Rhinolophus ferrumequinum: one gene and its partner. The protein of the gene in region 1 purifies or fractionates together with the protein of each later gene. This does not show direct contact. Links are inferred from orthologs where the notes say so. Each region holds a gene or a part of one and is shown on either strand. Other genes may lie near its edges. The genes, in order: TSPYL1 and DDX24.

What was found.
Region 2: the proteins of TSPYL1 (region 1) and DDX24 purify together in Homo sapiens (affinity purification with mass spectrometry; 3 studies listed by BioGRID and IntAct, counting the BioPlex papers as one, with this or other methods). This does not show direct contact. The link is inferred for Rhinolophus ferrumequinum from reciprocal best matches to the Homo sapiens genes TSPYL1 and DDX24.

Annotation. Positions count from the first base shown.
Region 1 is NC_046286.1:67,195,375-67,210,830, forward strand, and holds TSPYL1 (testis-specific Y-encoded-like protein 1), read right to left. Parts: upstream 7,213-15,456; 5' UTR 7,104-7,212; coding exon 5,787-7,103; 3' UTR 3,911-5,786; downstream 1-3,910.
Region 2 is NC_046289.1:9,010,800-9,025,614, reverse strand, and holds the start of DDX24 (ATP-dependent RNA helicase DDX24), read right to left. Parts: upstream 6,462-14,815; 5' UTR 6,319-6,461; intron 4,935-6,318; 5' UTR 4,930-4,934; coding exon 4,215-4,929; intron 2-4,214; coding exon 1-1. Other genes in the region: interferon alpha-inducible protein 27-like protein 2, read left to right, coding at 6,573-6,654, 8,050-8,127, 9,143-9,289. UniProt on the Homo sapiens protein: ATP-dependent RNA helicase that plays a role in various aspects of RNA metabolism including pre-mRNA splicing and is thereby involved in different biological processes such as cell cycle regulation or innate immunity.

The DNA of each region.
Region 1 (15,456 bases):
AAATTAATATAGTGTTGGACACAAACTCCAAAAAGTGTAAGATAGAGAAGCCTAACTCAGGAGCACGTGAATACTTGAAAACTTAAGGGTTTGGTAAATTATATCATATTAAGAGTAAAAAGGGTAAATGTGCTGCCCCAAAAGCTAATATTCTCCCAGGATCCATTTAAAGAAAAATACTATTTATAATAAAGGCAGTAAGAATCCCATTATATTCTGTTATTTGGATTTTTTTTTTCCCCCAAGTTCTGGGCGCCAGACTTTAGGAAGAACATTGGCGTAATGAATCTTGTCTAATTAGCATACAGAATGGATGAGGAACATTGAAAGAATTGATATATTGATCTGTCTGGGGTGGGGGGGTGAAGGGTAGAGTATAATGATTAACTTCAAGTACTTAAACAGCTCTTTTGTGGCAGCTGGCTAATTGCATTCTGCAAGACCACAGGGGTCAAACTGTGGAGCAGGTGTGCTGCGAGCCTACTATATCCCTGGCCCTTTGCAATAGCTGGATTTTATAAGGGGGTAGATTTCTGAGTAAATGTAACACAACTGGGAAGGAAGTGGGTATTCCCTCACTTAAGGCGTCCAAGGAAAGTTTATGTATGATTCTCAAACCTGTCTGCACCTTAGGGTCTAATTTAATTGGTTTGGGGTGAGCCTAGGCGTCAAGATTTTTTCAAAGCTCCCAGCTATTTATAATGGGCAGTCAGGTTTGACAAATATTAGGCCAGATTGCTACTTGTCTGAATGTAAATTAAATGAGAAATTAAAATTGAGAGGAAGATAAATAGGAATATTGATTACATATTACATACCAGGAATTGTGCTTGGCCTTTTGCACTCTAATCTTTATTAACTATGTTAATACTTGGACTCTTTTAGCAGTGGCACATAGTAAGCTCCCAAAGATTTTTTATCATTGTTACCCTCTCTACAACCTTATAATACATTCTCCAAATACAATCTGGGAGAATGTTAGCTTTATAATACAGGTGTTATATCATCTCTGCATTATGGACAAGGAAACTGAGGCTCAGAGAAGGTCTTTGTTTAGGCTAATGCACTAGGAGGTTGATTCCAAAACTGTGATTTAATCCTAATTTAAAGGTAATGTGTCTTCCCTGTCTCTTCGGGCCACTAAGAAGACATTTAGGTATTTATAAAAATTATTAATAGCTTACTTAAGTGACCCTTTTCATTTTTAATAGGACCATTTCTTTCTGGCCTGTTCTCAAGGAAATTACATTCAATACAAATCCTGAAAAAATGAATCTAAAAAGCAGACATTTGGTTTTCCTAATGTGGCCTGATGGAAACTTCCGTAGGTCTTGAGAACCTCTAAGGTCAAAGGTAATGGATCAATGTAGCCCTTTGGAGCTGAAACAAAGCACTTCAATCAAACATGGGAAGTACTGCTCACAAGTGAAACACTTCCCATACTAATGGATAAAGATTATATGTTACTTCTATACAGTCTAGGACTTCAATTATATATTAACATTGAAGAAGTTGGCCCTGAAGGAAATGTCCTGATCATCTCTGACACCTCCTCTTGACCACATAAATCCCGTTTTCTTGTGTGTGTAACTGGTTTAGGTATGTGAGTATGCTAGAGAAGAAGAAACATCAAGGAATGGATACTCCCTCGATGAGACACTGAGTTCTTTGAGGGCAAGGAAAATCTTTACTATCTCATATAATCCTTAATATAGTATCCAATACAAAATAAGTAATAAATGCTGCAAGGTGCAATTGCTACACTAATTTTCAAAAAAAAATATGCTTCAAATGGTGGGTATTGAATTGACTTAATGGCAGTGATAGATTCAGATTTTTGTTTTCTGTCACTGGCCAATTGCTAAAATTTGTAGCCTATGTAACATATACTAAATAGTACATCAGCATAATTTTAATACAGTGTTTTCCTATACATTTTTGGCACCTTCTGTATTTAATGACTGAAATTATTGTCTTAGCTTTATGTATTCCTGTAAACCAAAAAGTACACATTTTATTCTCGAAAGATATGAAACTAGAGGTCCTAAATGTCGCTAGAGACTTATTAATCAATATAACTATCAGTGCCAATTTGGCACCCAGATCTACCTTGTTTATATCCAGAAGCATAGTTTTACACAGTACATTTTAGAAAGTACTGAGTATATCTTAGGTAGTCGAGAAGAAATTGATTAAAGACATTTCATTTTACCCTTTTTACCCACTGGCTTCTGGCTGTACTTTACCCATTGTGAATTTTGGCTAGATACCCTTGTCATAAAGTCACAAAAAATTTCATGGGGAGAAAGTAATAGCATGTTTAAATTTTACAGATATTTTTATATGCTTTGAGATATTCATCAAGAAGTCTAGAACCATGCTGTCCTATGTAATTTTAAATTTACTAGTAGCCACATTAAAAAAATGGATAAATAGGGAAAATTAATTCTAGTAATATATTTCATTTAACCCAATATATCAAAAATATTATTTCAATATGCAATCCATATAAAAATTGAGGTATTTTACATCCTTCTTTCCATACGAAGTCTTTGAAATCTAGTGTGTATTTTATATACTTACAGCAGATCTCAATTTGCACTGGTCACATTTCAAGTGCTCAATAGCCACTGGTGTAAGTCAGTGTAATAGTCCAGTGTAATAGTCACTACCTTAAGATGTACAAAAACAAATCACTTAAAAGTTGATCCAAAGTTAATGCTCTGTTAACATGGCAAGTAAAAGATGAAATGTTATATAGTGTTTGGACTTTTTCTAATTACTTAAACAAGAAATTTGTTTTTATTTAAGAAAGATTGCAAATTTTTTGCAAAGTTTTTACAAATTGTTTAAATTTAAAAAAACTTTTTTTTTGCAATTTTACAAATGCCTTGAAAACCGTTTTCTTCTTTTCATTACCTCATCAAAAGTCTTTCTGGGTACTGTGTTATTTTGTTTTTTCTCCATTTGAATTGTTCATTTTGTCATTCACTAAATATTTATCTGGTGACAACTATGTGCAAAACATTAAGCTAGATGTAGTAAAGAATGTAAAAATATCCCCCATCTTCTGCTTTCACAAAACTTCGTTTGAAACTAGAGTGAAAAACATAAGAAAGTATATCTTTGTATTTTATTTTACTGTGTCACTCTGTGTCAATTATTTGTTTGCCTATCAGTTTTTCCCCAGTTCTTTAACAATAAATGTAATGAACTTTATCTTCTTATACTTTTATCTTCCTGGGGCCTGGCAGAATACCTTCATATTCATGAAATTCACTGTAATAAATTACTATGTGTTATTTTCTAGAACAGAGGTTCACCAAGTACAGAAAACTTTACAAAGTACACCAAGTACATAATTTTTTTTTTTATCTTCCCTAAGGGGAAGAGAAAAACAATAAAGCAGAAAAGATATTTATGACAGGGCTTGAAGGATTTGACACAGAGATGGTGGTGAGGCTTGAAGAACAGAACAAGTTTTTAAAGCTGAGAAAGTATAGGATACAAGAATACATCACTTATGACAGGAACTCTCTGAATGTGAGCTTATTAAGTGCACAAGTGACTAAAAAGAGCCTGAATGACCTGAGGATATCTACACACATAGAAATGGAAGCTTTAAGGAAGTGAAAGGGGTGGTGATGCTGAACAAACTATGTGGAAAAAAGTGACATTATGAGTTTATGAGTGAGCTATTGCAGTTGTTGATATTTTAAAGCAAAAAAAAAAAAAAAGGCAACAACCCTCCCTACCTTGCAAGGTACAGTAGTGTGCTCTATTTTTTTTTTTTTTTTTACTTTTGGGAAAATGCTTGTTGTATCGATTTAAGAGCTTTACTAAATTCCATAATCTGTTATTTTCAATAATTTCTTTAAGCAAGTTTGTTGGCAGGGTGAAAAATGAGAAGTCTAACAGAGCAACATGCTTTTATTTTACCATCATGCATATAAGGAAAGACAAATATGCCAATGGTACACTTCCAATTTGACAGAGCAATCTCATAAGCATTTATGCTATTTAGGAAAAAAGAAACATCAATTACTAAATTGTTACCAGGGCAGATTATCAAGTAGGTTAATCAAACCACATATTTTCTGTAGGTTATTGTTCCATGAAGACAATTTCCAAAGTCTTCAGAATCTGACAATACCAAGTTATTCATATTTCTACGAATACAGTTTTGACAGAAACAAGAAAAAATTGAAAATCATTATGAATATTCATTTAAGTCTATCGTACTGGAAAGTCTGTTATTTTTCCAAATGTCCCCAATTGAAAGGAAAGAAAGCCTGTACAGCTCCACTTTCCCAGTAAGCAGAAACAGAGAAAATACAGGATTTTACTAAATACTAGTGAAATAAAGGACACAGTATTAATCTTCTGCATAAATTAAGTCAAACGAAAATAAGAGCAAGCACCCAAAGTTGTGTTAGTTTCTTTGAAAAACTCTTCTCTTGGCAACGTATTTAACACTCCAAGCCCCTTTAATTCTCCCATGGAAATCCTGAGAAAAAGTATTTCTCCTCCCATCACCACCAACAGAGAAAGAACCTTTCCTTGAAGGTTCTCAGCCAGCCACTCTGAATTTTAGGCCCAATTTTTACCTGGCTCATTTTTGCCTACGGTCTGTTGTTCAGTTTCCCCTGCTTAGGGCACTCCTCACAATCTCGTTAGTTCTTCCATCCATATGAACTAGGTATCACTTTTCATCCCATCTAGATCTGCCTCCCTTTAAGTCCTCTAAGTGTTGGAGGGGCCGGGGGCGGGAGAGAGAGCAGAGGGAAATAAGAGCTCTGGCAGTATATTTTACAGGAACTGTTGTCCCTGGAAATGATGGAAAAAGCCAATTTTTAATTGTTTTTTAATAGACAGGAGATAAACAGAAAATGTACTGATACTCTGACAGTCATGTTCAGGATGAGGAAAGGAGGCACCAAGAGGTACCTAGGTTTTGTGTGAATTCACTAGTTGAGGCTGAGAAAGCCTGGACACCATCCTTACTCGTCATGAGGTCAAGGTCTAACGTGACACCTCAACCACTTGCCTGACAGTAGGGTTCCTCAAGGGAAGAGGGGTGAAGAATTGAGAAGTCTTTCGGGTAGAGGAATGGAAGGGCTGGAAGGGAAACCTGTGCTGGCAGGAAACTTGGTCCACCACCAGTTCTGAAGATTCGGTTTACCAGAAACCAGACAGAGGAGCTGACAATGGTCTGGAAGATTTTCATTCAGTAGGGAGCAGCCAAAGGGGTTGGCACAGCTAGAAGCATGCAGCACTACATGACCAGAGGTGCAAGAAGAGCAATGGAGTCACGTAAATCACAAAGACCAAGTGACCCACTGCTGCTCTCCCTTGACATTAATGCCCCGCAATTGTCCACAGACTATCTACCTGCACTGCAGAGCAAAGTGGGTAGGATGGGCGCCTAGAAAAAGCTAGAATTATAGGTGGTAAGAGCCAGACCAGAGGCCCCGGGAACAACTAGCATCCAAGCAGTGCTGATAAAGGCAGTGCAATTGAGAGCATCATTCACTTGGCTGAGCAGTAGTGTGAATCATGGCCATGCAGCATGCGAGAGTAATGCAGAACAGTTTGAAGGCTGTGGAGAAGCATGGCCATGAAGGTCTCAATCTTGAGGTTGAGAGAACTAAATGTCCAGAGGAAAAAGCTTGCAGAAATGCCGGCGGGGAAAAAAGGTAGAAGGCATACCCATTTCTGTCACCCAAGCACAGGTCCAGCAAGAGGTGACAGGGGACCTTGTGCAAGAGTAGTCCCAAGGGCAAAGTTTAACCAGACTGGAACCCAAAGGGCCTGGGGATCTCCACTGGCTCCCTTATTGGGCGACGTCTGGCTCTACGGGCTCCTTCACGCAATAGGTAATACTGCAGTGGATTTGGCCATAGGTCCTCTTTAATAATCTCAGCAATCTTGTCAGACTCTGGAAGGCTGTGGTCTGAAAACCAGGTGAAGAAACTGCAAACGACATCTTGGTTCCTGCGAATGAAGGACTGGGGTTCGTGGCCCCGACGCCATATGATTGGCGTGGAAAGAGATACCACTCGGCCAGAGGCTCTGACCTCATATTCCTTGACAATCAGCTTGTTTCTGAAGTAGGGGTTTCTTCGAAAGAAGAACTTGAACTTGCAGCCAGTTCTCGGGTGTCTGAGTTCCTTCACCTCCAAATTGGTTATGTATCTTAACATCTCTGCATCTTGGCCCCTAATCATGGGGGACAACTGGGGATGGTTCCGAAAGGCAGTGACCCAGAAGCCCGGGATATTCTGGATGATGTAGTTCCTCCGCTCCAGATAGTGTCGACGCATCCGTCCAAATTTATGCTCCAGCTGCTGAAAGGCCCTGTCAGCCTGGGCATTGACAGTGTCCAGTTCCAGCTGGATGGCCTCCAGAGGGTTCATGCGGAGATCCATACTCAGGGGCCGCCGCGCTGCCTCCTCCGGCACCTCCGCCACCACTCTGTTTTCCTTCCCCACGTCTATGTCTTCACCTACCGGCTTCTCCTCTACCTCCATCTCCTCCTCCACTACGCCCTCCTCCTTCACTCCCGTCTCCTTCACCACCTCCTCATCCACTGATACTGAGAAGATGGTGTTCACTTCAGCCTTCCCTTCCTCGGCCTTCATCTCCGCCATCACCTCAGCCTCCAACCTCTCTGCGCCACAGGTTTCTAGGGCCTTCTCCGCACCTGGGCCACTCGGCTCTCCACGCTGACAGCCATTGTTCAGGCTGCGGTCCGTTGCCATGGACACAGACAAGGCTTCCGGGCCCAAGACCGGGGGCGGAGCTGCTTCTTTCCCCGCTTTGGTCGCTCGGTAACCGCAATCCCCACCAACTCCGATCTGGGGAGAATGGCCACAGCCCGCGGGGTCGTAGGGGGCTCCCCGCTCCTCTGGAAGCTGGGCCTGCGGGAGCACGCTGGCCTCCAAGCTTCCCTCACCCGTCTCCGCCATCACCTGTGACGCCTCGGTTTCCTCGCGGGGCTTCAGGCACTGGTGTGGGTCCGGGTCTCCTGGGGCACGGCCGGGAGGAGTGGGGCTGCGGGTCAGGAGGAGACCGGTCTTTTCGACCCCCTCCGGGCCGCTCATGTTGGTAGCAACCAGGCCAACGGTAGGTTAACGTCCGCTTTCCTCACAGAAACCCAGCTCGGCGAACACCGGTCGCTAGCACCACCCACCCTCTGGAGTCGCCCGCGTCTCCGTGAGGGTGACGTCAGTGCCGTTAATCTCACCGTAACGCGAGATTTCGCTGCCGCCGGGATTGGCTCCGCTGTTGCCTGCAGTCCCCGAGTGTTCTGTTAGTTTTACTTGTATGAATTGCTTCGCGGGGACAGAAAATTTGATTTATGTAAATAAATGTAGATTGGACTCAGAGTCCGAAGGCAGTGAGGACCCTCACTGCGAAGCGTCTGGAAACTGCCTCCAGCATATAAACTCGGATAGTTGTAGGGGTCACAGTACTACAGTGCAGACTTGCATAAAAACATGTTTTTCTGGTTTTCAGTATTTTTTTAGGCAGGAAGGTAAATCTATTCCCTGTTACTCCATAATGTCCAGGAGCAAAAATCTTCTCTATTTTTTTTTTTTAACGAAGATGAATTGCAAATTGTTTCCCTTTTCTCAAATAGAAGTGACATGAAAATATCGATTACAGCCTGTAACGTCATTGAGAGAAAAAGCTACTCAGCGGCTTTTTACCACTAAAGTGAGGCATATTATTCCTTGCTAGTACTAAATTTATAATCTGTATCAAAGAAGAGCTTGTGCTACATAATGTCTGCAGGAATTAATATAGGATCAATTTGCTACATTTTGCTCCATAGCCCCTTGCTGTGGGAAATAGAAAAGCTTTATTTCCGGCCCCAAAAACTATTGATCTATTAACAAACTTAGTTCTGCAAGGAGGTAGGAAAAGTTGGCTGTAATGAAGTGTATATTCATGGCAATCAGCTCATAGAGTTCATGGAAGAGTTATGTCAGTGTCTCCAGTTGACTTGCAAGGAAAGCGGGGTTAGCGAGTTACAAGGCCTCAGAGAAATACCGGTTGGCGGGAGCCACCTGCCACCATTTTATAAAGAAAAGCCACTTAAAATGGGTAACCAAATAATCATGAAGTAAAAAACAAAAGTGCATTTAGTTGACTTAAAGTGTAAAAGAGGCAAACTTTTTTTTTTTTTCTATTTGCTTTGCCTTGTGTGGTAGACTGAATAATGGCCCCCGGAGATGTCCACCTCCTAATCTTCAGAAACTTGAATATATTATCTTACGTGGTAAAAGGGACTTTGTAGTTATGATTAGCTTAAAGATCTAAGATTATCCTGGATTATCTGGGTTGACCTTATAAGAAGGAGGCTGGCGTACAAGTCTAAAAAGAGATGATCACCAAAGCAGAGATGAGAGAGAGAGAGAGAGATTTGAAGATGCTATGCTGCTGCCTTTAATAATGGCGGAAGGAACCAGGATCCAAGGCAAAAATGCAGCCTCTACATTCTGGAAAGGTAAGGAAGTAGATTCTCCCAAAGAGCCTCCAAAAAAATGCAGCCCTGGCAACACCTTGACCTTATGATGCCTAACCTTCAGCTCCATAGGATAATTAATTTGTGTAGGTTTAAGTTATGAAGCTTGTGGTAATTTGTTACAGAGCAATATGAAATGAGTACTTCTTGGGTTGAGCTTTTGTGTTGCATTTATGTGTACCTCAAGTTTTTCCTAGCAGCACCCCTTCACTCTTGCCCATTGCTTCCTCTGAGGTCCTGCCCAACAGCTTGATTTATCATGTTTTGAGTCTGTTTTTGGTTATCGAGATCAGAAATCTACTTAGACAATACACAGATAAAATTAAAGCCAAAACCCACCACAAAAGTGGGTTTTGAGAAGACCCCAAACTCCAGGAGGACAGGGCCTTGTTTTTGTTTACCACTGTTCACCAAGTGCCTGGCATGCGGCCTTGCACGGTGTTGCATAGATTATTAAAATGGTAAATAAAGGAACAAGTGAACAGCATGCAGTTTCTTCTGCCTCAGCTTGGTGCTTGCAGAAGTAAGGAGCACGCAGATTGTCATCCTGCTTTTCTCCCTATCTGCCACCAGGAAACCAGAGGACTGCTCTGCTATCTGCAGGAAGGAAGCCCTAGTCAAATGAATTTCTACATATGCATCAAAGCCTATGAAAGCATAAAACAAAAAAACAAAAAACAGGAAAAATTTTGTTTTACAAATAATTTACATTTATGTGACCACACCATATGACAAACTCTGAAAGGCTGACATATTTAGGTGAATTTACATGGTAAAGCCTCAAACTACCAACACTGTATTTCCAATTCTTCTCTCCTTTCTGAACAAGCCAACGTAATGGATCCAGGCTTTACTTCATTTCTCTTTGCAAGAAATGGATATAGATCCTGTGATGCATGGCTGAAATTATTTAATATAGATAAGAATAAATAATGGAATTGCTTCTGAGGCCCACTTCTTTCTAATTGCCATGAAATAATTTATCCTAAATCTTAGAACTGGAGTAATTTAATTTGGGCTAAAGTGGAAACTTTTATTACTCTAATATGCCTTCTATTTGTAAGCAGAAAACAGTGCCAGTCTTTGACCAATCCTAGAAGATGTGGCTTTATTTGTCACAGTCACCATTATGATGTCTGTAAGCATAATTAGTGCTCTAACTGGTAATGTTAGAAAAGACTCCAGTGATAGATGGTACATGTAAATGTAATCAGGACTCTGGTGAGCGTAATTTCCCAGGTAGTGTTGAGACACTTCTTTCTCTTGTCCTTCTCTTACTAGATAATTTAATTGAATATATACAGAAAATGAGGAAACTTATTTCTTCCAATTTTCATTATCTGAAAATCACAGTAGATTATAACTCTTCATTATAGATGATGGATAGCCTAGGTTATGATCACTTTTGAATAAGTGATCACTTTTAAATAAGAGAAGGGCCAGCAAGAACCAAGGATTTAGAGGGAAAAGCAGATATGTGTTTTCTATGCTATTTCTTTTTTTAAAGAACAAATTTTTGCTTTTAAGAAGGAACCCTATAGAATTTCAGCCTGCATCAAGTCTCATGTGCTCAAAGAGCTGTTTTGCCATGCAGGGCAAAAATATGATTGCCACAGAAATTTGTACTTGTAATAGTAGGGCCATTACTTGTGGAAGTTTTCCTGAACCTGAAGTCTTGAATGTGCATCTCTTTCACATGACACAGGTTATCCTGCTATCTGAAACATTCTCTTTTTAGGCAGATACCATTCTCTAAGACCCCACCACAAACCTATATCGCTTTAGAATGTGCTTGGCATTTAACATGCATTAAAGTGTCAAATTTTTCAAAAGACGAAACAATAACTCTGAGAAGTTAACCAGGTCATCCATATAATAGCTGCTACATTCCCCCAGCCTTCTCCTAGGCATAACAACTCATTAATCTTCCTCTTCTGAATTCCTACAACTCTTTTATGAGCTGTGCCATGCAATTTAGTGCTTAATTATAGTCTTCCTCTTAGTGACTCTGATTTTTCATATATTTCAGTGTCATCATCCCAGCATCTTCCCAAGGGATAAGAGTACAGTGCTTCTTCTTTTGTATTTACTCAGCATAGCCTGGAGCTGAGATTTTGGTAGATCCTTAATGATATTTGTTGATCTGAAAAAAATAAAGTCTTAAATGATCTTACAAAAACCAATAGTGTGTCTATATTGGCATAGCATTTTACTTGGTGGGAGAATATATTTTGGCTATACTTCATATATTACCCTTTTGCACTTTGAAATGAAAGATACATTAGTATATTACACAGCATTTCTGTGGCAATTGGCAATAAACCTCATTACCCAAAAGATAGTCTAATCTTTTCTAAGATGATTTTATGAGAAAACATTCACAAAACCATGAAGTTATTCTCCACCATGTCAAGAAATCATAGATTCTTCAGGAATAATTGCTCAGGTAGTAAGGAGTTTAGCAGAAGTTCAGACAATTTTGTTTTGCAGAAAGATATATTTTATGGTTATAATTAATGATAGATTTCATGTATTTACTGCTTCTGATGTACCAATCACTGTTGTAAATTGTTCCAAGTATTGTATCATTTAGTTCTCATGAGAACTTTGAGGTAATGCTACTATGACCTTCATTTTACTCATCAGGGAACTGAGGCAAAGAAAGAATTAGACACTTACTCAAAATGATATACAAAAATGACACATTTGAAATCCAGCTAGTTTGGCTCAAGAACTCATGCTTTCTGTACAAAATGAAGTCACTGTCTTAAAATAGCATAAAACTATCCTCACTTAATGTTAAATTAATACACATTTTTTTTGCCGCCTCTCCCATTCTATCCACAAGCATATTAATATTTGTTAGGAAAAGTGCCCAAGGATTTGCTTTCTGTTTAGAGGAAAAACATTTACTCATGATCCCTAAATTCAGTATTTTCTAAACCCTATCAGACCCAATGTCATCTTTTTATAATAGATATTTTCTAAAACAGTCTTTACTTTCTTGAAATGAAATTCATAGATAAAACAACCACCTATACACATAAATAGAAAAACATCAATATAATGACTTGATTCTGATATAACAGAGAAATAAAAGTAATTTATAACAGTGTCTGTTTTAATATGTAAGGGCATTAACATACCTACACTATAAGAAATAACAGAGTAGTTAGAAAGTTACACCTGTTGGTATAATCACCAAGACTGACAGGTAGGTTTTACTTGTGGCTCAGATACCATGACTAGCATTACTCTTAGTGATGAGATTTTCTGAATTGGTGACCAAATCTTGGTTAAGTTTTAGAAAAGAAAAAGGAAAAGTTCTCATCAATTGCCACGACTCTATTTCTTCCTTTGTAAGAAATACATTTTCTAGTTTGATGTAATGCTACATGTTTATTTTTTCTCTTACTTCCCTTTCCTGAGGGGATATATCAGTAAAAATCTTATTCCGGGTAATGTCTGTTAACTTTCTTCCCATATTTTCTTCTAGGAGTTTTATGGTTTCAGATCTTACATTTAAATCTTTAATCCATTTTGAATTTATTCTCGTATATGGTGTAAGGAGGTGGTTCAGCTTCATTTTTTTGCATGTGTCTGTCCAAGTTTCCCAGCACCATTTATTGAATAGACTGTCGTTACCCCACCATAAATTCTTGCTTCCATTGTCGTAGATTAAATGACCATATAGGCATGGATTTATTTTGGGCTCTCTATTCTGTCCCATTGATATATGTGTCTGTTTTTATGCCAATACCATGCTGTTTTGATTACTGTAGCCTTGTAGTATAATTTGTTATCAGGTATCGTGATACCTCCCACTTTGTTCTTATTTCTCAAGATTGCCGAGGCTATCCGGGGTCTTTTATGGTTCCATATAAATTTTAGGATTATATGTTCTATTTCTGTGAAACATGTCTTTGGTAGTTTGATAGGAATTGTGTTGAATCTCTGTATTGCCTTAGGCAGTATGGACATTTTAATGATATTAATTCTTCCTATCCATGAGCATGGTATGTGTTTCCATCTATTTGTATCTTCTTTAATTTCTCTCTTCAGTGTCTTATAATTTTCTGAGTACAGATCTTTGATAACTGCACTGTACACCTGAAGCTGAAGCTGAACAATAATCAATGTCAGCTATAATTATATATATATATATATATATATATATATAGTTGCAAGAAGTAGAGTACAACATTAGGAATAGAGACAGTGGAAATGTAATGGCTGTATGCGATGTCAAAGGGGTAGTGGATTGGGGGAGGGGGTTATCACTGTGTGAGGGATATAAATGATGAATGTCTAACTATTACATTATTTTGTACACCTGAAACTAACAAAAAAATAAATAAAAAAGAAATTAAAAAAATAAAAAAAGAAATTAAAAAAAAAAAGAAATAGGGGCTGGCCCGGTGGCTCGGGCGGTTGGAGCTCCGTGCTCCTAACTCCAGAAGGCTGCCGGTTCGATTCCCACAGCCAGTTCAACTCCTCGACTCCCGCAAGGGATGGTCGGCAGCTCCCCCTGCAACTAAGCTTGAACATGGCACTTTGAGCTGAGCTGCCGCTGAGCTCCCGGATGGCTCAGTTGGTTGGAGCACTCCTCTCAGCCACAAGGTTGCCGGTTTCGACTCCGCAAGGGATGGTGGGCTGCGCCCCCTGCAACTAGCAATGGCAACTGGACCTGGAGCTGAGCTGCGCCCTCCACAACTAAGACTGAAAGGACAACAACTTGACTTGGAAAAAAAGTCCTGGAAGTATACACTGTTCCCCCAATAAAGCCCTGTTCCCCTTCCCCAATAAAATTCTTAAAAAAAAAAAAATTTTTTTCATTTTCACATTTCTGAAATCAGAATGTCTTTCAAGCACTGTCAGCCAGGTGTTAGTCATGACATGTTTGTTGAGCACATGTGATCTGGGTTATTGTTACCGATTTCATTTCTGGACAAACTGTTTAAAGACCATCTGAAGAAGGGATATAACTACCGGTTGTTGTCTGAAAACTTTCCATTGATGTCTTTGAAAGGCTCAAAAAGTACCATCATCAAAACATGTAATTGGTGTCAGTGGGTTTGAAGAAAATTCTAGATACAAGAGTTGAGCACTGTGTTAAGAAATATAGCATCATCAAAATACTTGATAGCAAAGAGAAAAATACTATTTGAAAAAACATGAATATTGACAACTCTGAGTCAAAAACTGTTTCTGAAAATTTACTGGATATGAAGAAGTTTTGGAAATACTTAAAAAATTATTTTCCTTTTGTTTTTTCCCCTTAAGTATGTGCAAGTGTGCTATTTGATTTACGTCTAAATAAGTGTACAAGAGCTCTTTAAATAAAGATAAATAAAATTATGTATAAGAATGCCTTGTGTCATAGTTTAATTGGCAATTTCCTTTTTTTTTCTTGGTAATATTTAAGTAATACTATGTTTACAACTGATGATGTCTTAAATTAGATGAAATTCATATAGTTTCTTTCCTGGAAAATTCATTGTGTAGTAAAAGAGTGCAAACATATTGTGTTTTTATATGTAAAATTATGTTACATTCCAAGCTCAGATAAATAAAAGTAGGTTTTTCCTCTCAGAAGTGGGGCAAGTTTTTGTTGATACGGACTTCCTGCATAATATCTAGCATCCGAAACCCCATCTCGTGAAAGCCAATACTTGGTGAGTATGGTATTCCCAGCGATTTTCACTAGAGGGAGCAAGCGGTCTAAGAAAGTAATATGTCTAGTCTGATGGAAGAACTTTGGAATCGTCTTTCACTATAAATGAAATACTCGTATAATTTAAATTAAATCACAATCTTTTATTCCCACTAAGCTGTAATTGTTAAAAAGTAGTTTTCTCAAACAGGTTTAGGTTTGTTATGACGGCTTCCAATAATCAAATCAGGCCAAAGTATCTCAAATGACCCTGCACAATCTGACAAGGTGTCTGCCTGTGTAGACTGGAGTCGTAGACCTGGTTTCAAGTTTGAGCTATGCCATTTATTACCTGTTTGACCTGAGGAAGTCATATCATCCCTCCGAGCCACAATTTCCTCAAAGGTATAATATAATAGAGATTATAATACATACTTGACAGGCCTATTAAGAAGATGAAATAAGATATGTGTAAAGTGTTTAGCACTATAAACTTTCAATGAGTAGAAGCTGGTAGTATTATTTATATTGTTTTATGCTAAAACATACATTAAAATTAAACTATTGTACAAGGTATAGTCAGGCACTATATTTAATTATAAAACAGTTAAGTGTTTGGGAGTTCAGAGGAAGACATCCATGTGGATTAGAGTGGTCAGCGAAAGCTTCATGGAAGAAACGAGCCTTGACTTGTATCCTACTATGGGTAAGAGTTGAATAGCTTGAGAAATGGGTGGGGCATGAAGACACAGCAGTCATACTTCTCCACTGCTCCTGCTATTTTAAGACACATTCTAGACCTGCACTATCCAATATAACCACATGTGGCTATTTAAACTAAAGTAAATGAAATGAAAATTTCAGTTCATCAGTCACACTGACCACATTTCAAGTGCTCAGTAGCAGCATCTGGCTAGTGGCTACTGTGGACAGCATACATTTCATCGTGGCAGAACGTTCTACGAGACAATGCCGTTCTAGACATAATAGTATCTTCAGGTGGTGGGTAAAAGGGAACTTGCTAGAACTAAAATGCCGTACCACAGACATAGCAGGCCATTATTAATAAGGGTAGTAAGGGAAAATTTTACTTAATTAAAATTAGTGTTTTCAGTTAGCATTTCTTGAGCAAAAATTGTGTGTTTATAATTGGGAATAAGTACACTAGAAGTACTTATCTACTGGCTCACATAATATCAAAAGAATAATTCAAATGTTATTTTTTTACTATAAAAATTATAGATTTAAAATAATTTTCAAATGTTTCTGAGCC
Region 2 (14,815 bases), on another chromosome or scaffold:
CCTTAGAAGTAAAACAAACGGGGGGAGGGGGAACAACCAAATCAACAGATGCACATACTTTCGTCTGGGTTGTTTTATGCAGAATAAGGGACCCTTCAAAGAGCCAAGAACCACTTTGACCAACCCAAAGCTCCTTCACCCTGCACAGGTTCCCTTACAGCACTGCACCTATAATTAGGAGGAGCCTGAGGAAACGGCTGGCACTGAATTCATGTCCAAACAATGAAACACTAAAGAGATGGGCAAGTTGTGTTTGTGTGTGAGAGAGAGAGAGAGAGAGAGAGAGAGAGAGAGAGAGAGAGGGAGGGAGGGAGGGAGGGAGGGAGGGAGGGAGGGAGGGAGAGAGGGAGAGAGAGAGAGAGAGAGAGAGAGAGAGAGGGAGGGAGAGAGGGAGGGAGGGAGGGAGGGAGAGAGGGAGAGAGAGAGAGAGAGAGAGAGAGAGAGAGAGAGAGAGAGAGAGAGAGAGAGAGAGAGAGAGAGAGAGAGGCTGCTAAGGAACACATGGTGGGCGGGGAATGGAAATCTGTATAGTATTTTACCAAGACCTTTCTTTGGTGGGGAAGGAGTAAAAAAAATTCTTTTCTTAGTTTTTGAGGAAAAAATTTTAAATTAGCATGCTTTTGTCTATGCTTGAACATTTTCAACCTGACCTTTGAATGTATATGGAGTCCAAATTCACGACATCGGGGTGCTCAAAACAAACAAACAAACAAACAAAACAAAACACCTCAAGCTGAGACTTTAAAGTAGTTCTAACGTCCTAAGCAGAAGCAAATAAATGATCTCTGGAGGAAGAAACCTTTATCATAGGCCTCGAAGAATTCTCAGAGGAAAATGAGCAGCTCTCAGTAAAAAATAACTCCTAAGGAAACAAGGTACTATAAGCAAGAACTGTAAGAAAAAAGGAGAGCAAAAACAGACCCATAAAACTTCAGATAAGAAAAAACAGCACTTTTCATCAGAAACAATGAAAGCTTAGAAGACAGTGTAACAACATCTGTATTTGGAGAACTGAAAAAAATAATTGATAATCTAGAATTCTACACTCAGCAAAAATCTTTTTGAAAACAAATGCGAAATAAAAACTTTTTTAGGTGTACAAAGCTGAAATAATTTATTGCCAGTAGACCTGGACTATAAGAAATATTAAAGGAGGGGCCAGCACGGTGGCTCAGGTGGTTGGAGCACTGTGTACCTATCACCAAGGTTGCAAGTTCGATTCCCACATGGGCCAGTGAGCTGCACTCTCTACAGCTAAGATTGTGAACAACTCTCCCTGGAGCTGGGCTGCCTTGAGCAGCTGGAGGTTGGCGTGAGCTGCCGCGGGCTGCTGTGTGCTGCCATGAGCGACCTGTGGCCAGCGTGAGCGGCCGGCAGCCGGCGAGAGCTGCTGTGAGCTGCTGTGAGCACTGACCGACGACTGGCGACCAACTGCCTGAGCCGGGGGGAGCGCAAAGCTCATAACACCAGCATGGGCCAGGGAGCTGTGTCCTACACAACTAGACTGAGAAACAACGGCTTGAACTGGAGTTGGGGGGGACGTGGAAGGGGGCGGAAATACTAAAGGAAGTCTTTCATGCAAAAGAAATGATGGAGTCAGATGAAAATTTGGATCAACAAAAAGGAATAAAGAGTACCAGAAATGGTAACATGGGTAAATACAAAAGATGTGTTTTTCCTAGTTACCACTTAAAGCAAAAACAATAAAAATGTATTTTGGGATTTCTAACACATAAAGTATAAAACAAAAAGCCCAGAGGAGAGGATAAACGGAAACATACTCTTGTAAGGTTCTCGCACTACATGTAAAATAGTACATTATCACTCGAAGGTAGAATATGACACATGAAACATATATACTGTGAACTCAAAAGCAACTACTACAAGGACATAACAAAGAGTTATAGCTAACAACACAATATAAATAGATAAAATGATATCACAAAAAATATTTAATCCAAAAGAAGGCAGAAGAAGAGGAAAAATATTAACAGACATTAAGTGAAGACTTACTGTACTGGTATTTTCAATAACATGGTTGAACCTCAAAGTTATGCCGATCGAAAGAACAGATACCTATATTCCCAAAATACATATGATTCCAATATATAAAATTCTGGAAAATGTAATCTACCGTTGTGGGGACAGAGCCCCAAAAAGCAGTTTCCAGGCTCTCGGCCTCACATAGAAAGGTGCTGGCTCAGGTAGTAAATGGCCATCAACTGTGATCAAATGGCCATCAGCTGTGGCTAGTTGGCCGTCAGCTGTAACCAGTGAGCCATTGGCCACGAATATAACTGCCGTGGCTACGCTAGCAGCAAGTGGGGCCTAGCAAGAAGATGGTGGCTGAGTCTGCAAGCGGCGCAGTGAGGGTTGAGAATTGTGTGGCTCCTGGTCCCTGTGTCTCCAACCCAGCCGCCAGCGAGAGTATAGTGGTGTGACTCCCCTACCTATGGCTCCGTGGGTGTTCCTGTTTGGCCTCACCATGTCCTGCGTTCTTGTGTGGGGAGCGGGAGCAGAGACCCCGCAGGCCCCCCCGCAGGACAATCGTGATAGGAAAATCTATCAGAGGTTGCCTGAGGACGAAAAGGAGAGAGGCCAGGGAAAGAAAGATTACGAAGGGGCTGAAAGCATCCTGTGCGGGTCAGGGGTATATTTATTATCTACATGGGCAGCAGTTCGTCCACAGCCCCAAGTCTTTTTGAACCTTGGACCTGCACACTCACAACAATCCATGCGGAGGCCTGACAGGAGCTGTGGTACGAATCCCAAGGTCAGATTCTAGCCACAGTGGCTCACACAGCCTTGCCTCCGCCTTCCAGAACCTACCTCCAGGCTTCTGCACATATCAAAGCAGTGTAGCAGAATGCTTAACGACCCGGCACTACGACTTTCAGCTGTGCAGTTTCAGGGATGCTGCCTATCCTCCGTGAGCCAGAGTTTCCACATCAGTAAGATGGGAATAATAATAGAATCCACCTCAGGGGGGCTGAGAACTGAGTTCATCAATATAATGCACTTAACACGGCGCATGATGCATTTTAAATGCTAAGTAAATGTTCTAAGTTGTTATTATTACCTCCATTCCCCTTTCTTGGAGTTTCCTGACTCTTCCATCTCTGTGACTCTCATGTACGATCTCACCCCAAGTTTCCTGACCACTCTTCTAGAAACCCAAGGCACCAAGTGTCCAGATGGTTTAGTCCTATGCCATACAAGTAGTAGCCATTAGCCACATATAGCTATTGAGCACTTAAAATGTGGTTACTCTAAATTGAGAGGTGCTGTTAAGTTCAAAATACATGAGATTTTTAAAACTTAGTATAAAAGAATGTAAAGAATGTAATTTTACATTAATTACATATTGAAATATTTTATATAATTGGTTAAATACATTGTAAAAATTAATTTTCACCTATTACTTTTCACCTTTCTAATACAGCTCCTAGGAAATTTAAAATTACATCTGTGGCTCACTGGCACTGAAATATACATTTCTATTAGTTACTGCTGGTCTAGCTGGACTAATAGTTCCAGGCAGTACAAGCCACTCCCCCTAGTCAGCAGTTTAGTCCACCCAGGGAGACTCAACCTGTCTTGCTTCACAAAGTCTTAGATGGCCCAGGGAATAAGGGAACTTTAAACAATGCCTAGTCCCAACAATCACCTGATGCCCAAATCTGCCTACAAAATCCACCCAATAGTTATTTATCACACATTCAAATCCTTCCAATGACAATAAACTCACCAACTCCCAAAGCAGCCCTTTTTATCTTCGGACAACAGTTGAGAGTTGGACACTTATTCCTTATACTAATGAAGATCTACCTCTCCAGAGGGCTGATCTTAGCCCTGGTTTACCCCTCTGAGCCATTTAAAAAAGGCCCAAGAACAGGAAGAAAACCATTTGCAGATCACTCACAATGTACTGTGGAAATTTCAGTTTGCTGTAGCATTTACATTTAACCGACACAGCAAAAGAAGTAGGTATTGTTATCTCCATTTCATAATAGTGCCTATACGACACACAGAGATAAAGTGACCTGCCTAGGGTACCAATTAGGAAATGGCAGATTTCAACCCAGAGCTGGCTGGCTTCTAAAACACCTTCATTTACCATTGCTTCGGCCTCTCTCCCCAGCCATCCAGCCTGTTAGCAGCCACAGGCTCAATCCAGAAGCAATCTTGCCCTGGCCAGATAAGGGTGCCCTTACCTGTCTCAGCAGCACCAAGGATGTCCAGTTTGTCACGGATGGCAGGTGCCAAGGTCAGAGCTTGGATTGGTGTGGGTGCAGAGAAGCCCAGAAAGCTGAGTGCTCGGAGAACTGGCTTGGGTACAAACAGGTCCTTCCAAGCTGATATGTCTGCCTTGTGGTCATGCACTTCAGGTATCCACGTCTTTGCTTTCTTCGGCACGTTTGGAGTACTACCCTGAGAAGGTTCTGATTTTTTTTTCCCTTGCTTTTTCTTCTTTTTTGGAATAGCCTGGGCTGGGCTTTCTGATGCCATCTCCCCTATCTCTGGATCAGAACAAACTGTACCATCTCCCAGGGGCTCTGGCTCAGCATCTTTGACCTGAAAGTCTTTCTGGGCATTGGTTCCTTCAGTTTCCACATTTTTACTCTTTTTCAACTTTATCTTTTTCTTTGAGGAGCTAGAATCTCCTTCCTCCTCTCCTTCTGAAACAGCTTGTGCCTTTCTCTTCTTGGGCTCCTCCTTTGAGAAGAGACTGGAGGAATTCTTGGCAGGAGAGACCAACTGGTAATCTGTCAGTTCCTCAAAGCACACCAGGTCATCCATCTGTCCATCTGCAAACATATTTGGGTCAATCTTCACCTGCTTCCATTTTCCCACAACCTTAATTCCCTTTGTCTGAAATTTGCCATAGCTTGGTGCCTTTGACCTTGATTTGGTGTCCTTCAACTTCATGGTTGCTGAAAAGGAGAGAGGTGTTCGATTAGACTGGCAACTGAAAAGCATTGGATTCTGACGCAACAAGTATTTTCTAAGCAGCCTACAGGATATCAGACCCTGCAAAGATGGCTCTGAACACTGATGCTCCCAGCTAGAGCTGATGCTCCCAGCTAGAGAAGATCAAAAAAGGAAAGAAATACACCCACAAATCAGATAGCTTGGCCTCGAACAGAATAGAGAGCAAAGACTTATGAGCTAGATGGGGTTTGAATTCCATATCCAATACTTAACTGCTTGTGTTCCCTTGGGAAACCCTGCTTAATCCTCTTTGAACCTCAGTGTTCTCATCTCTTTGAGAGAAGGAGGGGCCTAATAATACCTAAGTCACAAAATGTTTTAGAAAAATAAATAAAATTATGGAAAGCATGGAGGATAAAGGCTGCGATACCCAAGCCACATGGAAGGCAGAGTGAGAATTTGGGTTTTTTTTTGTTTTTTTTTTCAGGGGTGGGCGTTGAGGGCGGCTGAGGAGGCCAGCTTTATCCAAAGTGAACAGAGCTTTCTCCTCCTCAAGTCTTGCCCCAAGAACATCTAAATGCCTGCGCCACCATTCTGGCCTTTGCCAAATGGCTTAAAGCCCATCCATCCCGTACAGCTTTTTCATTACATTGTAAGTGATTTAAAAACCATTTCAGCAGTAGCACAGTTCGAGTGGAACTGGATCCTTGTTCTCCCCTTTCAGAAAGGTTAAGAAAAATAACAGACCCTGTGAGAAAGACAAAGGTGAACGAACCGTCGTTCAAAGCCGGCCCATCACTCGCCAACTCTGAGTCTGTGGCGAATGTACTGATTTCTCTGCGCCTGTGTCCTCGTCTGTAAAACGCAGGTGATGAGGCTCTGTCTCCGGGCACGCTTACGCTAATACAAAAAGGTGACGCACGTCAAAAACCGCTCAGCATGGCGCCTCGCAGGCTGAGCACGCCGGCACGCAGGAAGGTTCACCCAGCGAACCTCACCGCCCCAAGTACCAACGACTGGAGTTCAGTGATGAGAGGCACTGGGGATGGTCACGCACATGGGCGGGACGCGGAGGGCGACCTGCAGAGCGCGACCTGCAGAGCAAGCGGGGCCCCTGCTCGCAGCGTCCAGCCCTGTGACTGGCCCTAGCGCCTCCGCTCACGCATAAACAGGCGCACGGAGCGGGAAAGACGAGGCCTCCGAGCCCCGAGACCCACAGAAGGGGACCCGGCGCAGGGTCGACAGGCTGCTTGACCGGGCCGGCAGCCGCCTCTCTGGACTTGAGAACCCAGTGAGCTGAAGAGGCCCGACATGGGCGCCGAGGAGCCCGCCCCCAGCTCCTTTCGGGTACCGGCCCCAGGCCCCCGCTCCAGCACCGGTACTCACAGTGAGCACACGCCGCTACGGCTCCCACAGACGCCGGCAGGACAACCGCCTTACAAAACGCCACAGCTCTTCCTCGGCTGCAGCGCCGACCGCAGTTCCGGGGCGGGGCTTATACTCGCGCACGCGGGCGCGGTGCGGCAGGATGTCCCGCCCCCACTCTAGACGCCGCCACCTGATTCGCTGCCGCTCGACCGCGGACTTGTGCAGTGCGGTAGTGCACCGCCCTGGGGGCAGTAAATCTGGCTTCGCCGGCGATGGCCCTCCCTGGATTACGCAGCAGGGGGAAGGCTCTGTGCTACATCCAGAAGGGCTCTACGCTAGTTCACGCACGGAAACGTAAGCATTCTTGTGTTCTTGGTCTAGTTTTAGTGCAGTGACTGTCGACGTGTTAAACCTACTGTATGCCTGGGGCCTTGCAAAATTTCAGCATTTAATTTACAACCCAACCAGCCTATGTTGGAGGTGCCATTTTCCGCAATTTTTTCATGCCTCTCCTATTGCTCAATGATGGTTAGGGTAGGTCCGCCTGACTTTAAAGCCCAGGCTTTAATCACCAAGCTAAACTGGCTGCTTTGTTACATGCAGAGAAATTAGCTTTACAATAGATAATCACCTTTTCATGTGGGTGTCGCGGGACCATCTGGGGAACCTTTCTCATAGACTGCTTGGTGACCTTGGAAAGTCCTAAAGGACAATGGGGGAATTCACCAAGTGCAGATCTAGTGAGCCTCCCCACCAGCTTGGAGCCACCATGGGACAGAGCTTAACACATTTCTTGGGGCAACTTGACAGTGTGTCCCCAAGAGTCTGGGTAGCATAGAGCCTGTGCCCAAGTGGTGCCTGAAGAAATCTGATAACGGGAACGGAGCAGTCCTCAATGGGAGAGTGAGAAGGAAGGGCCGCATGACCCCCCTCATGGCAGGTTAAATGTTCCTGTCTCCTCTGGGCCAGTTACACACCTTGGAGGGGGAGCCCTGGTCATTCATTAACCTTTTGCACTGACAGTTGGGCTGTTCTAAAGGGATTAACCCTGTGGCTTGGACAATGGGAAACAGAGGGATAGATGACTATGAATAAGCCTTTGTGGGATCACGATACGTGGAAAGACATTTGGGTCCTTACTGTTTTCCATGTCTTGGCTCATAAAGCACTGACACTGCCTGGCAATCAGGAAGCTGATGCCCTAGCTCAGAGACGAGCGCTAGCAACTAACCCTTCAGTAAATATAGCACATTGAATATATAGAGTGGCCATTGCATTGCCTGGGTGGGGGGCACATTGCCAGGGTTGCCAGATTGCCCTTGAAATACAGTGACTTGGTTAATGCAGTAGCAGCACGTCCTCTGTGTTCTAAACAACTCCCAAGGCAACTACCAAAGGAGTCTGCGGCCATCCACCAGAATTCCCAACCAATGCAAAATTAGCAAATTGATTATATTAGCTCTCTCCCTGTGGGTGAGGGTTCTAAATATGCCTTGGTTTGTGTGGACATCTCCTCTGACTTAACCCAAGCTTTCTCCTGTTGCCATGCAAACCAGGCGGCCACCATTAGAGGATTAGAGAAACTGAGTATTATATATGGTGCATTGGGATGTGTTGAGATTAGATTATCCTGTAGACCAGCCCACACTCCCCCAATCCTCACATTTGCAAGGCAAAGGTTAGGTCTACCAGCCTAGATTAAGAATGATTCATTTGTCTCATTTGCCACGTGGGTGGGACGTCATCCAGGGTGGAACTATATATGCCTGCTGGAGTCATCAGGAGCCATACTACACACAGGATTTCCAAAACTGCAATTACCTCAAGGTAGGCAGGGGCCCGGGAAATGGGGAAGGGAGGGAGCACCAGGACTCCACTCATAGCATCCCTCTTTGCTGCCATTCAGAGCTGCTGTCACTGTGACTAGAGGTGAGTGTGCTGGGAAGGGGTTTGAGCCCACATTTACCCCGCGACTTTGGGAGCAACCGGGCTTGTCCCAACCCAGGATTTTGTCAAGCCCTAAGACTTAGGCTGGGTATGGGGCAATAGTCAGGGGACAGAGGTGACATATTAGAGATGAATAGAATCCTGGAGATCAGGGAGCCAAAGTCCTTAACTGAAAAAGCTGCAGTCTGTGCAGATTTGGGGGGGGGGGTGCTGGGAGTGGCCCACAGACTGCTATAGGACAGAGGGGCCAGGGCTCAGGGCAATGGAGAGGTGTCCCCATCCATACCACAATCCATCACAAATCAGGCACAGCTCTTCTGGTTTTCACACACCCTTTCTGGGAAAAATAGTGGTAACTCTAGGCTGTGTACCTAGTGTGCTCACACTGCCTCTGAGATGTCAGCTAAAGCCATAGAGAATGAAGGACTTGCTGCTGATGCCCTCCTGCAGGAGTTTCAGTCAGATGGTGAGTGCTCTCAGGGAAGCTCTGGAAGGTAAGGTGGCCCAGGGCCTGGGGGCCATGGCCCTAGGCAGAGGAGGTCTGGGTTCTAGCCTGGAGCTGCTACTAAGGTGCATTGTATCTGAGGAAGTCTCTTCCATCTTGGGCCTCAGCCTACCCCTTGGTGAAGTGAGGGACCTGCCCGCTCTCAGTTGGTGGTCAGGTCTCCCTCTCTCTGTTTTGTACCTGGGTTCATCTCCAAATGTTCCTATTACCTCAGCACTGCTGTCACTGATGTCCCATTCCCACATCGGAGTTCTCGCGAGCATCAGGAAATGTCAGAAGGTGCTTTGTGGGGCCTCTGGGCCTCTGCCCTCCTCGGGGCCCGGGGGCCTCGACCTCTGGTCTCACAGCTACCCGCCCCCTCTCTGTGCCCCCACCCCGCTTCTTTTCCAGAGGAAGATGAATCCCCCCAGTCATCCTCTGCTGGTTCTACTCCTGGGAGGCCACCACAGGGGCCCCCTCCGGGGCCAGATGGACATGGCTCTGACTCCACAGACCCACCACCCAAAGATGGAGGCAGGAATTTCTCCCGCACTGCAGGTAACTGGTCCCTGGGCACCAGTCCACCAGACGTCACCTCACCCTCACTGCTCAGCTCAGTCTTCTAAGTTGTCAGCATTCACGTACCAGTCCCCGATGGACCCTCTACTACACCCACATTGTCAGAAGAGGGGCGCGGTGTACACGGGAGATGACGTACATGAAGCTCTAGAGTCAGAGGGACTACACTTCAGGCCCTGGCTCTGCTGCTGACTTGCTGGGTAACCCAGAACCAGTCATGAGCCCTCTCTGGGCCTTGATCGGTTTGTTCCAAAGTGCAGGGATAGGGGTATGTCACTCTCCGAGGTCCCCCAGTGCCAGGTCACATCAATTAAGTGGTACAGAGCCCAGTCACACTGGCCTTAGGCTCCTGGGCAGCTAGCAGGCTCATGCTCAGGCCCCGCTCTTTGCCCGTTCAAGTTCCCTGTCACTGCCCTGACCTGTTGGCCCACAGCACCCAAGGCCTGAGTGAGTTTCGTTTCTCCAGTCCTGTTCCTCCTTGATGCCCCAGGGCCTGGTTGCTCATTTACTCTGATGATAAGCCCTTACGGAGCAGTCTCGTCTCTAGGGTGGGGCCAGCCCAGGAACGGGGCAGGAAAAGGTGCACTCTATTTTTTTTTTAATTGTGACAAAATAACATTTACCAACTTGACCACTTAGAAGTGTACAGTCCTGTAGTGTTAGGAGGTATATTTGCCTTATTGTGCGACCAACCTCCAGAACTCTTCATCTCACAGAAACGAACTCTACACATTAAACAAGACCTCTCCATTCCGTCCTCCCCCACCCAGCCCCTGGCAACCGCCATTCTACTTTCTGTCTCTATGAATTTGACTCCACTGGGGACCTCTTATAAGTGGTGTTGACATAAGAAACGTCCAAACCTGTAGAGACTTTTTATAAGAGTTTGTTTGAGTCAAACCGACGACATATGCTAGGGAGCAAAATCTCAAATGCTCTAGAGCAGGGGTGTCCAAACTGCGGCCCGCGGGCCAACTGCAGCCCGCAATCCATTTTTAATTGGCCCCCAGCAAATTCCAAAAATATATTGAGTTTGCTTAAATAAACCAGGTGAGGCAATACGTACTTCACCTCAAGCTGTTTGTGTATTTTACCGCCCTTGGTAAAAAACGTTGAAAAAAGTTTGACATCCCTGCTCTAGAGAATAAGTTTTGCAGCTTCTTTTATACATTTGAGATTAAGGAAGGGCCATAAGGACAATTACATGGAGGTGGGAGATAGCAAGGCGGGGATTGGATTACAGGGTAGTTGACAAGATCTCTGGAGGGTGGTTATTTCAAAGGTCTGTTAACCGAGATGCATAGAAACAATGAACAGCGCTTGCTTAAGACAAAAATAAGCCTTTTACTAAAAAGTTATAGGCCTGGGTGTGACTACCCACCATGACCTGCCCAGTTAGGAATGTGTGATCAGGTCACCGCATGAGATTTTTTTCCACGGAATCCCTTTTTTTCTACGGAATCTTACAGCATGTATCTTTTTGTGACTGGTTTATTTCACTTAGCACAATGTCTCCAAGGTTCAGAATTTCCTTCCTCTTTAAGACTGAATAATAGTCCATTGTATGTGGATACCACATCTTGTTTATCCGTTCATCCGTCTTTGGACCCTTGATTTGCTTCCACCTCTTGGCTATTATGAATAATGCTGCTGTGAACGGGGGTGTAGGTATCGCTTTAAGACCCTGCTTTCAATTCCTTTAGGAATATATCCAGAAGTGGGTTTGCCGGATATATAGTATTCTATTTTTAATTTTTTGAGAAACTGCTGTACTGTTTTCCATGCTGCTGCATCATTTTGTATTCCTACCATCAGTGCATAAGAGTTCCGGTTTTTCCACATCCTAGCCAACACTTGTTATTATCTGTTTTTTTTTTTATAGTATCCGTACTAATGTGCATGAAATGATACCTCATTGTGATTTTGATTTGTTTTTCCCTAATGATTAGGGCTTTTGAGCGTCTTTTCATGTTTATTGGCCATTTCTATATCTTCTTTGGAGAAATGTCTATTTGAATTCTTTGCCCATTTTTCTTTCTTTTTTTTATTTGTTGTTTTCTGGGTTTTTGTTTGTTTTTTTTCTTTATTCTTTGGTCTCTTTGCCCATTTTTAAATTGAGTTATTTGAGTATTTTGTGGTAGGAATTTGTTATATATTGTGATTAATAACCCTTATCAGACATATGATTTGCAAATGTTTTCTCCCATTCTGTAGCTTGCCTTTGCGCTCTGTTGATTGTCTCCTCTCCTAGTCCGTTTGGGCTGCTATAACAAAGTGCCATACACTGGTGGCTAATAAACAGCAGAAATTTAGTTTTCACAGTTCTGGAGGGTGGAAAGGCTACGATCAAGATACAGGCAGATTAGTGTCTGGTGAAAGAGCCTGTTTTCTAATAGGCATCTTTGCTCTGGAACCTCACGTGGTGGAAGGAATGAGGGGGCCTCTCTGGAGCCTCTTTTATAAGAGCACTAATCCCTATCATGAGGGCTGTGTCCTCATGAGCTACTCACCTCCCAGAGGCCCTACTTCTAACTCCATCATCTTGGGCATTAGATGTCAACATACTCATTTTGAGAACACAAAATTTCAGACCATAGCAGGTCCCTTAATGCACAGAGGTATACTCTTGATCCATACTTCTTTTTCTGAAATAATCAGCACCTTCTTGCTCAGAGGCCTGTGCCTGCCACTGGGGTAGGCAGCAGTGACTGAGGCTTGGCCCTTGACCTTAGTTCAAAATCCAGCAGAGGAGACGGAGAACGGCCTTACCTTGTGGGAGATTCTGTGGCAGAAAAGAGTCCTGGAAATCTGCCTGGATTTGGCATCCCAAAGGGCAGGGAATGGCTTCTATTCGTTTCCTAGGACAGAAGCATAGCAGTGAGCTTGAGGAGAAAAGCAGAAGCCAGCCCCCTCATCCTCGTTAAAGAGGTGGGTGTTTGTGGGCCACAGGGAGCGTGCAGGGGTTTCAACACCATAGCTGCTCCCTGTACCCCAGCAGCCAACAAGATACGTCTCATGCTGTGTGGGGTCCATGTCCCTGATTGTGGACGGGAAGAGGTGAATTGACTAGGGTGGCAATGGTGCAGGCATTAGGAGTGATCAGATTCTGGACACGTATGAAAGGTGAAATCAGCAGGAATTGCTAACAGACTGGATGTGGAGTGAGATAAAATGAGAGGAGTGTAGGATGACTTCTAGGTTTTGGCTGCTGAGAGAACAGCTCCGGGCTGAATGGAAACTCAGGAGCCAGAGCAGAGGCAGGGGATTATTGCAGTAATCCTTGGGAGAGATGTGGGTGGCTTGGCCCATCATGGCAGAGGCAGAGGTATAAAGAATGGTCAGACTGGATATTTTTGAAGGTGATACAGTAGGATTTGCTGATAGATTGGTGTGGAGAGAGGGTAACTAGGAAAAATCGACTCCTGGCTGCTTGTCCGGAGCTGCTGAAAGAATGGGACTGTGTTTCACTGAGCCTGGATGGCCGTTGGAGGAACAGCTTTGGGAGGGAAATAATAGTCCAGCTTTTGACATGTTATGTTTGAGGTGCTTCTCAGATACCTCAGTGGACATGCTGAGTAGGTCTGGGCTGGACGTATCAATTTGCAAGTCGTCAGAATACAGATGGTCCTGAAAGCCACGTGGTTGGGTGAAGTTACCCAAGGAATGGACCTAAAGCAGAGAAGGGGTCTGAGGACTGAACCCCAGACATGTCAGCGTTCATCAGAGATCAGGGAGAGGAGATGAAAGGAGACCGAGAAGGAGAGGCAAGTGTGGCAGGAACGGAAGTGAGAAAGGGTAATTTCCTGAAGGCCAGGTGAGGAAAGTGTTCCAGAGGCCAGCTGTAAACAAACTGGGCAGCTTAAAACAATAGAAATTTATTCTCCCACAGTTCTGGAGTCTAGAAATCCAAAATCAAGGTGTCCACAGGGCCATGTTTCTTCTGAAGGCTCAAGGGGAGAACCTATCCCATGCCTCTTCCAGCTTCTGGTGGCTGCCAGAAATCCTTGATGTTCCATGGTTTGTGGCTGCATCACTCCAGCCTGTCTCCATTTTCACATGGTCTTCTCCCTTGTATATCGGGTGCCTAACCGCAGTGCCATACTGCCTCTCCCTCAATGTAGAAAACTATTGCAAGGAGCCTTGCCATAAGGAATGGATCAACGTGAGATGGCGACTGGAGGAAGACAAGGCACAGGGGGAGGGGCTGCCTTTGTTTTCCCGGTGTGGGACGGTGGAGTCTGGCTGGATCCTCTTGGGAATGGTCTAAGACAGAGGGCGACGGTAATGGTGCAGAAGCGAGGGGGGAGCCCTGCAGGAAGGAGTTGGAGAGAGCAGGTAGGCCCCGTGCACAGTGGCCAGCAGCAGGCACTGTGCAGCACAGAAGCAGGAGGGCAGGGGGAGTGAGAGAGCAGGGGTGGAGGGACCATAGGCAAGCTCTCTTCTGCTGCCTTCATTTTTATAGCGAAATAGGAAGTTGGTGAAGCAAGAGTGGGGAGGTGCAGTAGGTTTGAAAATCTGGGAGAAGTTGGGAATTCTGGATACTCAGAGAGTTGGGGAGTAAAGAGAGAGGGGTTGAGCCCAAGACAGGAAGAGGGAGAGAGTTGAAGGGTCTGCAAAGGGCACTTGTGATGAGTGGGTGTGGAATCCACATGGGCCTGGAGGGCAGGGAGGACTTGGGAGGAAGGAGGGACAGTGTTGTGGGTTATACTGTGTCCCCCCAAAGAGATAGGTTTCAGTCCAAATCCCTAGTACTTGTGCATGTGACTGTAGATGTAATTAAGATGTAAATTGAGATGAGGTCACATGGGAGTAGGGTGAGCCCTTAATCTAAAATGACTGGTGTCCTTAGAAGAAGAGGAGACACACAGGGAGAAGGCCATGTGAGGCTGGAGACAGACACTGGGGTGCCGCAGCCCCCAGAAACTAGGAAGAGGGAAAGAAGGACCCTCCCCTAGAGCCTTCAGAGGGCACGGCCCTGCCAATACCTTGAGTTTGGACTTCCGGCCTCCAGAACTAGAATATGAGAGAATATACACCCAGCTGGTAGTCATTGGTTTCAGCAGCCATAGAAAACTAATACAGATATTGAAAATGCCAATATGACTGAAGAGTTGTTCACGGCTGTGTTAGAGTCCGAATCTGTAAAGGGAGGAGGTGGGGGTTTCCGGGGGGCGCTGGATGGTGATAAAAGGGAGGGGACAGTTTTTGTCAGTAACAAGGTCTAGGGCACCACGGTCCATGAGAACGTTCTGCAGCGTTGAGCACATTTTCTGTGCCATCCAGTGTGGTGGCCACTAGCCACATGTGATGGGTGAGCCCTGGAGATGTGGCTAGTGAGACTCAGGAGCGGAGTTTTTAATTGTACTTAATTTTAATTGACTAAGGTTTGAATAGCCAGATGTGGCTAGTCGTTGCCGTAGTGGGTGCAGGGGCCTAGGGTATGACCATGTGGGATATAGAGACCAGATTTTTGGAAGTGAGGGAGTGAAGGCCCAGTTTGTTGGA